Pelodiscus sinensis: one gene and its partners. Each later gene encodes a partner of the first gene's protein in a complex. Links are inferred from orthologs where the notes say so. Each region holds a gene or a part of one and is shown in the gene's direction. Other genes may lie near its edges. The genes, in order: CWC22, PPIL2 and CRNKL1.

Region 1 (3,747 bases):
TGCTAATGGACTTAATCGTGATGAAGGATGGTTGGGACACTATTTACCTAACAGTCAATGAAGGTGCAAACAGCTCCTTGTGTAGATTCCTATGTCAGGAAGGATACTATCTATTGACTTTGATTCTATCGGTTTCATTTTAACTACCCAATCTTCAGATACTGATTCCCTCCACCCTCTGTCTCCCACTCCCTCTTTTTTTATCTCCCCCTCCCCCGCCCCTTCTCTCATATTTATTTTGGACCTGTGTTACTGGCAAGAGTAAGTCTCAGGTCGGATACTGGGTTCTCAAAGTACAAAGACATGCTACACAGGTATCTGTCAAACCAAAGCAGTTTATTTTCTGTCAGCTATCAGCTGTGCCCCTTAACTAAAGGAATAACATGATAGGGAAAATGGCATTCTTACATCCCTTCTGCTAGCTGGAAACCCCCATTTCGGCTGCAGATGAAGTGGGAGATTGTCTCAGCTTCTGAGGCACCGGTACCCAAAGCCCATCGGTAAGGTCCAAATTGCTATGTTTGGTGCAAACTTTAAATACTGTGTGTCTAACTTGTTTGTGGCAATTTGGAAATTTCTGGGGGTTACTCATTGCTTGTTACAGTATGGCTCAGCTGTGCTACTTGTCCTTTGTTTACATGATCAGTAAATTTAGGTAAACAAGACTTATGTTCCCACCCTTACCTACAATTCGTTCTTGCTACAATGGCATATGTTTCTAGAGGCTTGCTTCTGGCTCATCAGTAGTAGGGAAGGGGAGATAGGAAAAGGGAGGGGAATGCAGGCCTCACCACCCTTATAGTCACACCTACAGAGTTCTTCTGCAATTGACCTCTACATTCTGCATATCCTAAACTCAAAACTCTGGTCATCTGCTACAAAGCTCATGATACCATCTACATGCTTTGTTAGTCTATAAAGTGCTACCAGACTATTTGTTGTTGTTTTTTCTGTACAGACTCACTCAGCTACCCCCTGAAGCTGCTAATCGTAGCGGGGTGGCCGATGAAATTTTGGGGCGTAAAAAAATAATAAAGCACTGTAAAACTCAAAACAAAAATTCAGTTTTCTCCAAATTTCAGTTGGGTCGACGTACCCCCCAAACGTCTCTCTGGGGGCATTGGTACCACTGGTCTACTGTGACCTGACTGGTGCTCGCTTTATCTGCGCCTGCAAGCTCTGCAGTAGCCAGCCACAGCACCGCTAAGGCTGAAGTTAGTTTGCACACGCTCAGCCTTCCAACAGCCCTTCCCCTGAAGACCCCGATCTGCACGTCCCCCTAATAATTCCACGCCCCAGTTACTCAGCGGTAGGTTTACCTAGGCGCGAGCTTCCTCCGGCCCCTAAAATACCCCTGCGGGCACTGGGGGGGGGGGGGGGGGCTCGTATTCATTCAGACCCCAATGGGTCAGCCTGGGAACTCCCGCTGCCTGCCGAGCCACCGACCCCAGGGCGGCACGTGGCGGGGTCAGCGCGGCAGGTTCCACGTCGGTTGAGTCAGAGGCACAGCCCGTGCAGCGAATCCCTCCGCGAGGGCGGCGCTGGGACCCGGACCTGGAGGGAGCCCAGAGACTCGCCAGCGTAGTGCATGCTGGGAGCTGTCGTTGAGGCCATTTGAGACTGCGGGGCCGCCATGTTGCTGACGTAGGAGGGAGCGCGTCCGTGGCGGATGCGAGAAGGGCGAGTTATTTTCTTCATTTCTTTTTCTCTGTTATTTTACCTCCGCTAAGCGTCGAATAAATCGCGTTACAAAATTATTACCATTAACGAGGCTTTACTCCACTTCCGGCAGTAAAACCCCACCCCCATTTCGCCGGACGTTATGTTACTTCCGGTAGGATGGCGGCGTTCGGGAGCCTGAGGTTAGTTCCAACCGCGCAGGAACCTCGCACAGGCCGCTGTGCCCTTCTCTGTCCCTTTTCGCGTGGGGCGGCTCTGCCGAGGGCTGCCTTGGTACGAGCGGTCGGGGCGGATGCCACCTCCCCCCACCTCTCCCTGGTGTCCCAGGGTTAAGCGCCCATCCAGCCCCCCTTCACGGGCGCTGCCATCGCCGAGACCAGCCCCGCGGTAGCGCACCAGCTGCTAGCTCGGCTCCTCACGAGTCTGTGTCTGGGTCCGCGCTGCCCCGGCTGCAGCACCGGCCTCTGCGCAATTGGCTTCGCTAAAAAGCCTCGAGTCCAGCTGCCTTGCTCTGAGCTGTGCGTGGTGTCGTGCCCCGAGCACCGTGGTTGCCTCGTGCTGTAGGCACGACTGGGGGGGGGGGGGGGGGGTTCTTCCGTGGACGTGGCTGCCCTCTCTGGCTACGTCTAGACTGCAAGCCTCTTTTGAAAGAGGCTTTTTAGAAAGATACTTTCGAAAAAGCCTCTTTTGAAAAAGAGCATCTAGACTGCAAGCAGTACTTTCGAAAAAGCAAGCCACTTTTTCGAAAGAAAGCACCCAGGCAGTCTGGACGCTCTCTTTCGAAAAAGCCCTGTCTGCATTCAAGAACGCCTTTTTTCGAAAGAGCACTTTTGAAAAAAGGCGTTCTTCCTCGTGAAATGAGGTTTTCCGCTGTCAAAAGAAAAGCTGCGTTCTTTTGATTTAATTTCGAAAGAATGTGGCTGTAGTCTAGATGCAGGTGAAGTTTTTTTGAAAAAAGACTACTTTTTTCGAAAAAACCCCTGAGTCTGGACACAGCCTCTCAGAGGTGGATAAATGACATCGAAGGAAAAAAACCTTTCAGTAGCTGTGGTGTTAGTAGTGTAGCCATAAGAAGGCAGGTAAAGCTACAGGAATCATAGAGGTCTTGGGGCTTGCTGGCTGTTGGCAGGCACTTGGGAGTTTGTCACAACCGTAAGGTTTATGTGCAGTAGGAATTGGTGAAGGTCTCTTCAAGAGACCCTCCAAAGAACAGTGACATTTTTCAATCCCTGCCAAAGAACAGGGTCAGAACATAGTTTAGCTTGCAATTGGCTATTTTCATTTGGCAGTGCCTAATTAAATTATCAGGCCACTGGTGGATTTTGGGGGGAGGGGTTAGTATTTTGGGTGCCAATTTTTGTAATACAGGCAGTCCCCGGGTTACGTACAAGATAGGGACTATCGGTTTGTTCTTAAGTTGAATTTGTATGTAGGTCGGAACTGGCTCCAGATTCAGCTGCTGCCACTGAAACTGACCAGGGGCTGACTACAGGAAGCCGAGGCAGAGTTGCTCTGCCCCCAGCTTCCTGGAATCAGCCTGATCAGTTTCAACAGCTGCTGAATCTGGAGCCTGGGACAGAACAGCTGGGGCACTGCCCGGTAGGTTCCCACAGGACCAACCCGGCAGCACCCCAGCTGCTCTACCCGAGGCGTCCCGCAACAAAAGCCTGGTCTGCTGAGGGGGGGGTGGGCGCACTAGCTGCGCTCCCTCCCCCCCAGCAGACCAGAGAGACCCGAGCAAAGCCGCACAGGCGGAGGGACCCCGCTGCCCGTGCGGCTTTGCTCCTGTCTCCCTGGGGTGCTGGGGGGAGTCCCTGCCAGCACACCAGGGAGACCCGAGCAAAGCCGCACAGGCGAAGGGACCCCGCTGCCCGTGTGGCTTTGCTCCTGTCTCCCTGGTCTGCTGGGGGGGGGTCCAGCAAAGCCACTGGACCCCCCCCCCCAGCAGACCAAGGGGACAGGAGCAAAGCCGCCCAGGTGGCAGGAGTCCTGCTGCCTGGGCGGCTTTGCTCCCGGGCAAACGAGCAAAGCCGCCCAGGCGGTGGCTTTGCTCGGGTGTCCCTGGTC
Region 2 (3,747 bases), on another chromosome or scaffold:
TATAGCTTGACTTTAGCAATGTTTTTGGTACTAATGAAACCATGATGAAGCTACAATACGGTGGGTGCCAAACTGTTCGGAAAATAGTGCCCAGGGTGTAGTTATCAGTAGTTTACAGTGATGCTATAAGGGCATAATGAGTGTTGTCCTGCAGTGATCAGTTCTAGATCCATTTCAATTCAAAATCTTTGTCACTGCTTTAGATAATGGCTTTGAGATGCGGGAGGGGCAATAACAGTAACAATCCCCCAAAACATGTGGACAGAAGCAGAGCGATGTAACCTGGGGAGCAAAGAGAGCTGGAGCCACCTTACTGTGCTTCCCCTGATGCTGCCAGTATGTGTGGGGATGAGGCAGGGCAAGGGCAGAGCCAGAAAGGGGAGGAATAGATGTGTGGGTTCTCTAGTCCAGGCCCTCCACATCCCCCCCTCATCAGTCACCTCTGCTTAGAGCGTGTCCTTATTAAGTTTGTGAATGATAACACATGGAGAGGGGTTTGCAAGTGGTTTGGGCCACATACTAAATACCAGTCAACAGTATAAAGGCAAAAATGGCAAACCTGTGTTGTAAGCAAGATGCAATAAGTAAAGAATGTGCTGTACTTTGCACTGATTAATCCTCAACTGGAGCACTGGGCAAGAAGCCTGAAACATGACAACAATCACTGGGTCTATAGAAATTGGCTACCTCTGGTATTAGTGTTTAACAATAGGACTGTGTCTACATTGGCATGATTTTGCGCAAAAGCAGTTGCTTTTCCACAAAAACATGCTGCCTGTCTACACTGGCGGGGAGTTCTTGTGCGAGAACACTGACGCGAGAACACTGACGGCTTCTTGCGCAAGAACTATGATGCTCCTGCTCAGGAGTAAGCCCTGTTGTGCAACTGTTCTTGCGCAAGAGGCCAGTGTAGACAGGCCACATGAATTTCTTGTGCAAGAAAGCCCGATAGCTAAAATGGCCATTGGAGCTTTCTTGTGCAAGAGAGTGTCTACACTGGCACGAATGCTCTTGCGCAAAGGCACATGCCACTGTAGACGTAGCCTAGCAGTTTCTTACACTTTATAACTATGTAGCTGCTCCCTGTAGGGTTGCGCTGCATTCGGTAGCAATGTCTTATAAGGGCAGCTGTCTTACAATCAAACCTGTCAGTAATTGCTACCAGGAGCAGCTCTATGCAAAGATGGTGCTACTTCCGGGAGCAATATATTATAGGAGCCGATCCTTACGAGCGTACCAATCAGAAACTGCTACGAGTAGCGGCGTCTCACACGGCCGCGGCTCTTTCCGGAACGGTGCTTGGGGCGCCCGGGTTGTACGGCGTGACTAGTTTAGCGGCGCACGCCGTACTACCGGAAGTCGCTGAGGTGCCCGGAACAGCCGGCTTAGCCCTGGGGGAGCTGGCCTGCCGGAGCTCGCTGGTCCGCCTCACTTCGGGGTCCCCCCTTGGCAGGGGGCGCGTTTCCTGCGCCGGGGAAGAGCCAGAACCGCCGCCATGGGGAAGAGGCAGCACCAGAAGGACAAGATGTGAGGAGGGGGGGGGCTGTTCTGGCGGGGCTCAAGGCGCGCGGACAGTGGCCGGGCCTGGCTCCCCGCGGTCCAGGCCGCTGTCGGGCGTGACAGGCCGTGGGGGTCCGAGCCCGCGCGTGCGGCTGTCTCGCGGGCAGCCCGCTAAGCCGCGCGGAGCGGCGCGTCCTCTGAGCCAGTGGCGGGACCGACCCCTTCCAGGCTCTCCCCCACGAGCGCTGCCCGGGCGGGGCCGGCAGGAGCAGGGTTTAGGCGCCGTTAGTCTAATGAAGGGGTGGAGGGTGGCGCAGGGGCATAAGTGGCAGGTGCGAAGAGGCAGCTGCTCCCCCTGGTTACACGATTACACACTAAGGGGCCTTTCTCCCCCCCCTTCTAACAGAGGCGGGGGGGCGGTGGCAGGCGTGGAAGCCAGTATGTGCAAGGAGCACTAGCTCCTGTTTCCTCCCACCCGCGTATGTAAACGTGTACTCGCTGAAAATTTATGCATTTTAAATAAACACATTTTAACACCTGTAGCTTGAAGATACTTAGAATTTGTCTGTACCGAGATGTCTGGGAAAGTTAATACAGATTAATTGAAGGTGTGAACTTGAAGTGATGCAACTTAAATCTGTGTGTCAACTCAGTTTCTACAAAGGGATTTAAATGGCACTTCAGATTCACATCTTTCACTTAATGTGAATCTTTTTTCTTGTGCCCCTTCCCCCGGCTAGTTCTTTATTCTCCCAGATCCAGAAGAAGCTAGATAGAACCAAGAACTTGTGTTCTGTACGAGAGCTTTTTGTAAGCTCACAGCTTGGTCAGGAGTTGGGGTATCTGTGTTAGGCACTGAAGAAAAGTTTGGCGTGGTAAATATAGAACAAAAGCTATAATAGTGACTTGTGGGTCAACCTTGTTCCTTTGCTTCAAGGCTTAATGCACAGTTTCCAGATGTTGTTATGGAATCATCCGTAGTGACAATAAAGCAAACAAAAGTGTCATCTGTGTTATAACTTGGTCTCTGGCATGATATGGTGGCAACATAGTATGTTTCTCTTTTTTTGTGGTATTGCCCCAAAGCTCTTCGTATTGGGAACATTGAGGTGTGACACCTAATATCAGAGTTGGCTATATTGGGTAAAAGTGTAAAAAAGGTAGCTAAGAATGTTTAATATCTCTTATTAATATAACTTTCAGTTTGAAAAATCATTGGTTTCTGCTAAATATCATTAGTGCAATGTATTAAGCATTAACACTGCTTTACTCTTTAGGTACATAACATGTGCAGAATATACACACTTTTATGGAGGAAAGAAAGCAGGTAAGTTACTGTGTTTTCTTTTTGTTATTTTTCACAATTATTTCTGATTTGTACATATGTTCACACTTCAGTGCTGATGTCTGTTTTTCTCTTCCTTATTCTTCTCTCATTGAAGTTGTGAAAGACCTCTTGGCTAAGTCTCAAGGCCTGCTTGCCATGCTCCCCCTCTTTCTGTTGCCTTTAAACTTGTTGACTGCTCTCTCTTTTATTGTGTCCTATCCTCCTTTCCTTCCTGGTTGAATCCTTTCCTGGATCTTGCTCTGACTTTCCAAACATGCATTCGGTACCTCTTTTTCTGTTTACCCTTTTATTTTGTTGGACTCTTTCAGGGTGCCATCCTTGCCGACTGTGCCTTCTCCCCTGATTATTTCATGTGTTTACATGCAATTACAGATCACTTTTGCATGAATGACTTTTAAATATTCTTCTTCCCTCTGGGCTTATATCCTTTTCTTAGCTTTGCTCTTTCCATTATCCCTGGAAATGTCATCCTGTATAGTTCACTGCCATTTCAATCTCAGTTTGGCTACATCAAAGCAGTTACAGTGGGATCCTGATGCTTGTAACCTGGGTGTTATATTTGATTCCACACTTCTCCCCTTACAGTCAGACTTCGGCTGAGTCTTGTCCTCCACAGAATTTGAAAATCTCACTCATTTCTCTCCCTATAACTGAATTTCTCATTCATGTCCTAGCAACATCTACACTTGTAATCTATTTTCAGGTCTCTAATGTTAACCATGTCCACAAAACCAAAATGCTCTTATTTCCACCACGTCATCCCAAGCTTCTCACTTTATGTCCACCAAACCTAAACTCCGTGACTTTGCCTACAGAGCCCTGTGTTCCATCTCTTTTCCTCATCCCCTCCGGCTCCCTGATGTCAGCGTAAACCTCTTTTGTTTCTTGCATCTCCACCC
Region 3 (3,747 bases), on another chromosome or scaffold:
AGTGAGTGAAAGTTTTCAGAGAATTATCAACGACTTCAAGATCTTTCTCTTGAGTCGTTGTAGTCAAATTAGTCCCCATCATATTGTATATAGTTGGGATTACGTTTTCCAATGTGCATTACTTTACATTTATCAACATGACATTTCATTTGCCGTTTTGTTATCCAATCACTTAGTTTGGTGAGACCTTTTTGAAGCTCTTCACAGTCTGCTTTGGTCTTAACTATCTTGAGCAGTTTGGTATCATCTGCAAATTTTGCCACCTCACTGTTTACCCCTTTCTGGGTTTCCCAACCTATACCTTGTGACCCAAATATGGGTTGCCATTACATTTTAAAAGGTTTGCCAAGTATCTCCCCAGGTGGCTCTGCCCCCCCCCCCCTTCCTCCCTCCATTTTTGAATTGCCGTGGGTCATCAAGTCTTCCTGAATTGTCAAAATGGATCCTGATCTGGAAAAGGTTGGGAACTGCTAGATCATTTATAAATAAGTTGAATAGGATGGGTCCCAAGACCGAACTTTGGGGGACCCACACATGTTACCCCTCTCCACTCGAAAACTGACCATTTATTCCTACCCTTTGTTTCCTGTCTTTTAACCAGTTATCAGTCCACGAAAGGACCTTCCCTCTTATCCCATGACAACTTTCTTTTGAATCAAGTACCAGCCGTGGACATTCACCCAAAATACAGTTCACTGGTTCTAGTCTGACCCAGCGTGGCCGTTCTTACACTATGCAGCTACGGATTTATTTTCTCAAATAAGACCGTAAGAGCTGCTGGAGTTTTAGAAGGCCCACAGGCGTGGCCTCCCACCGAGCAATGGGGCGAGCAGGTTGGCCGCTGTGCCCCGCCCCAGTTGCGCCTGGCCCCGCTGCTGGAACTCATGGCGCAGCATTGGCCACGGCCAGCCCCGGGCCAAGGGGAGCTGCAGTTCTCGGGAAGGCCACCAGGGGGCAGCGCAGAGGAGGCGCTAGGACGAGCTCTCAAACGCGCTGCATGCTGGGAGCGGTAGGCGCCGTGCGGGAAGCGCGCGTTGCATGCTGGGCGATGTAGTCCCAAGGGTGAGGGGAGCTACGGGAGATGGGACCCGCTCACCACTGTGGCCCCGGCCCGGGAGCGCCCTTGCCCCGCCCTCCCAGAGCGCCGCGGAGGTTACCAGGGGCACGCAGCGTCCTGTGGACCCCGCCGGCTCAGCGCTATGAAGAACTGACGCCGCCGCCTCACCCGGGACGCAGCGACTCCGCCGCAGCCGTTGGGAGACGCGCGGCCGCCGCTACCGTGGCAACGACCCGGGTGACGCCGCGCGGGGTGAAAGGTGAAAGGTCAGCGCGGGGTGGAGGCAGGTGGAGTGCACAGCAGCGGCGGCAACATGGCGTCTACGGCGGCCGGGAAGCAGCGAATCCCCAAAGTGGCGAAGGTGCGGGGGGGACAGGACCCAGCGCTAAGGGGGGGTGCCCCCCGGCTGGGGGGGGGGGCGAAGGGAGACGGGTGGGGGCAGGGAAAGGCGAGGCGGTGCTGGGGGAGGGCACGAGGGTGAGTTCTCGGGGGCCGGGGTGTCTCAGGGAGGGAACTGGGGGCCTGTGACCAGGGGGAGGGGCCGCCGGGGGTATGGGGGGGGGAGAAGGGCGATGCCCCAGTGGACCAGGAGGGAGCTGAGGGGGGGGCAGTGAGGAGGGGGGGTCGCTGGCGCGAGCGCTGCTGCAACAGCTTTGGCTCAGTGCCTGGCACAAGCAGCCCGAGCCCAGCTACCAGCTTCACTGGGGGGGAACCACACAATCATGAGGGGCCCCCCCGCACTTCATGGGGGCTGTTGTGAGCCTTGCCGTTCCTGTCCCTGCTCTGCCTGAGTTGGTGCTTTACCACCCCCCGGGAGAGCAGCGATAGTCAATTTTACTTTAAGGGGCTGAATAAGGCAGTGCCCACAGCTTGCCACACCAAAGGGCTTTTCAGGTGTCTGCTCTGTAGCAAGCCTGCTACTGGCAAAGGTTCACGCCCTTTCCAGAGTAATATAACAGAATATTTGTTAGTCTCAAAAAATTAGCCATGCCATGAACAGTAATCTAACAAAATCTTGCAAACAAAATAAGGAAAAACACTAGTGTTATTAAAACATGCAGTTAGATTTCTAACATCTAATTTTAATTTCATAGTTATAAAGTCACATGGACATCAAATTTCCCTTTCCTACAGCCTGAAATATTGGTACTCGCACTATTCCTCCCTCCCCAGAAAAGTACTGCAAAGCATGTGGTCAAGCTAGCTATTGAAAGTACATCAATTACAGATCACCCTATGTTGCATAAGCATTTGATTAAAAGCATTCCACCATAAACTGAAATGTAAACACAATAGAACTAAGCTCTGATAAGGAAAAGTTTCTAAATTATATAGATGGCATGATGGTAGAAAACAAACTGAAGTGCATCTGGCCAATTCCCATCTGTTCTACTCTGTATTTTTCCTCCCCCATCTCTCTACAACACCCATGTACCTAGCCCAATGGTTTTCAACCCATTTACCATTGTGGACAGCATATGTAGCTCTTTCTCTATGTAAGGTGAGCCACATCTACACATTTTATATATACTATTTGCGTGGCCCTAAGGATGTCACATAGGCTACAGCTGTGTGCTGATTGGGCTGCTAATTAAGAACCAGGGCTCAGCCCATCCTGCCTCCAGCCTCCCTTCTGCTCTTACTGGACTTTTTCCACACACACCCCTGTCCAAGGGGAGGGTGCTGCAGTAGTATCCCTCTGCCTCTCCAGGCAATCTCAGAGGTTTCTTACTCCCCCTCCCATAGTAGGATGTTAAAGGGATGAGAAAGGAGTCATTCCCACTTATAGGGGGCAGGGAAAGAGGGAATGGAGACCCTGAGTTGCAGAGCTTTTTCTTCATCCTCCCCAACTCTCCTGTGAGTAGGGATAGTTCCTCCTGCCTTTCCTCTGAAACTAGGCTAGAGTCCTGAAGGGCAGGGGAATGAGACCCTCTGTGTCTGGAGAAGCTTTGATTGACTGTTTCTGAGGGTATAAAGGAGCAGTTGATGTCCTGTAGCAGGTCAAACAGAAAGCCCTGGTGACAGGGTTAAAGTCTATGAACCACCAATTAAAGAACAGTGTCAAAGAGCCATTCTTTCTCACTCTGGGTCAATGGATATTTAATTTATATGAAGTGAAGCAGCTCCAACAGTTTATATTGAGAGAGACCCATCTGAGAATAGTCAATACCCATGTGGTTTGGGCAATCACCTGGGATTCAGGTCCCTGCTCTGACTCAGTCAAAGCAGGAACTTGGACTGTAAAAGACCCAAGTTCAATTGACTATCCTGATTATTGGCTTTTCTGATCAAGTGTGTTTTTTTTTAACTGATTCTGATGAGAAATTCTGTCCGTGACCTGAAAAAACTTCCCCCAAAAATTTCATCAAAAATTATACATTTACGTGAAACGTTTTGGTTTTGATAAATCAACATTTCCAACAAGAAAAAGTATTGAAAAATTCCCACATCGCACTGATACGCATATCCTTAGCCTTATGGGCATGAATAATTATATTGAAGTCAATAAGAATACTCGTGTAGTTAAGTTAGTATATGAGTATTTGCAGGATTGGAGCCTTACTCTGTATTCCAAAAAATGTAAAAACTCCTGGTTTTATGCAGTAGAATCTCAGAATACAGATGTAAGTGACTAGTTGCTTCCCCCACTCCCCCTTGCTGCCTCTATATCAGATGCTATTAAAAACTAG

What was found.
Region 2: CWC22 (region 1) and PPIL2 share a complex: the UniProt entries of both Homo sapiens proteins name them as parts of the minor spliceosome. The link is inferred for Pelodiscus sinensis from reciprocal best matches to the Homo sapiens genes CWC22 and PPIL2.
Region 3: CWC22 (region 1) and CRNKL1 share a complex: the UniProt entries of both Homo sapiens proteins name them as parts of the minor spliceosome. The link is inferred for Pelodiscus sinensis from reciprocal best matches to the Homo sapiens genes CWC22 and CRNKL1.

Annotation. Positions count from the first base shown.
Region 1 is NC_134717.1:47,653,124-47,656,870, reverse strand, and holds the start of CWC22 (pre-mRNA-splicing factor CWC22 homolog), read left to right. Parts: upstream 1-1,612; 5' UTR 1,613-1,680; intron 1,681-1,687; exon of another isoform or gene 1,688-1,862; intron 1,863-3,747. UniProt on the Homo sapiens protein: Required for pre-mRNA splicing as component of the spliceosome. As a component of the minor spliceosome, involved in the splicing of U12-type introns in pre-mRNAs. Promotes exon-junction complex (EJC) assembly.
Region 2 is NC_134725.1:17,530,678-17,534,424, reverse strand, and holds the start of PPIL2 (RING-type E3 ubiquitin-protein ligase PPIL2), read left to right. Parts: upstream 1-1,305; 5' UTR 1,306-1,495; coding exon 1,496-1,527; intron 1,528-2,777; coding exon 2,778-2,827; intron 2,828-3,747. UniProt on the Homo sapiens protein: Has a ubiquitin-protein ligase activity acting as an E3 ubiquitin protein ligase or as an ubiquitin-ubiquitin ligase promoting elongation of ubiquitin chains on substrates.
Region 3 is NC_134713.1:194,839,202-194,842,948, reverse strand, and holds the start of CRNKL1 (crooked neck-like protein 1), read left to right. Parts: upstream 1-1,231; 5' UTR 1,232-1,370; coding exon 1,371-1,418; intron 1,419-3,747. UniProt on the Homo sapiens protein: Involved in pre-mRNA splicing process. As a component of the minor spliceosome, involved in the splicing of U12-type introns in pre-mRNAs.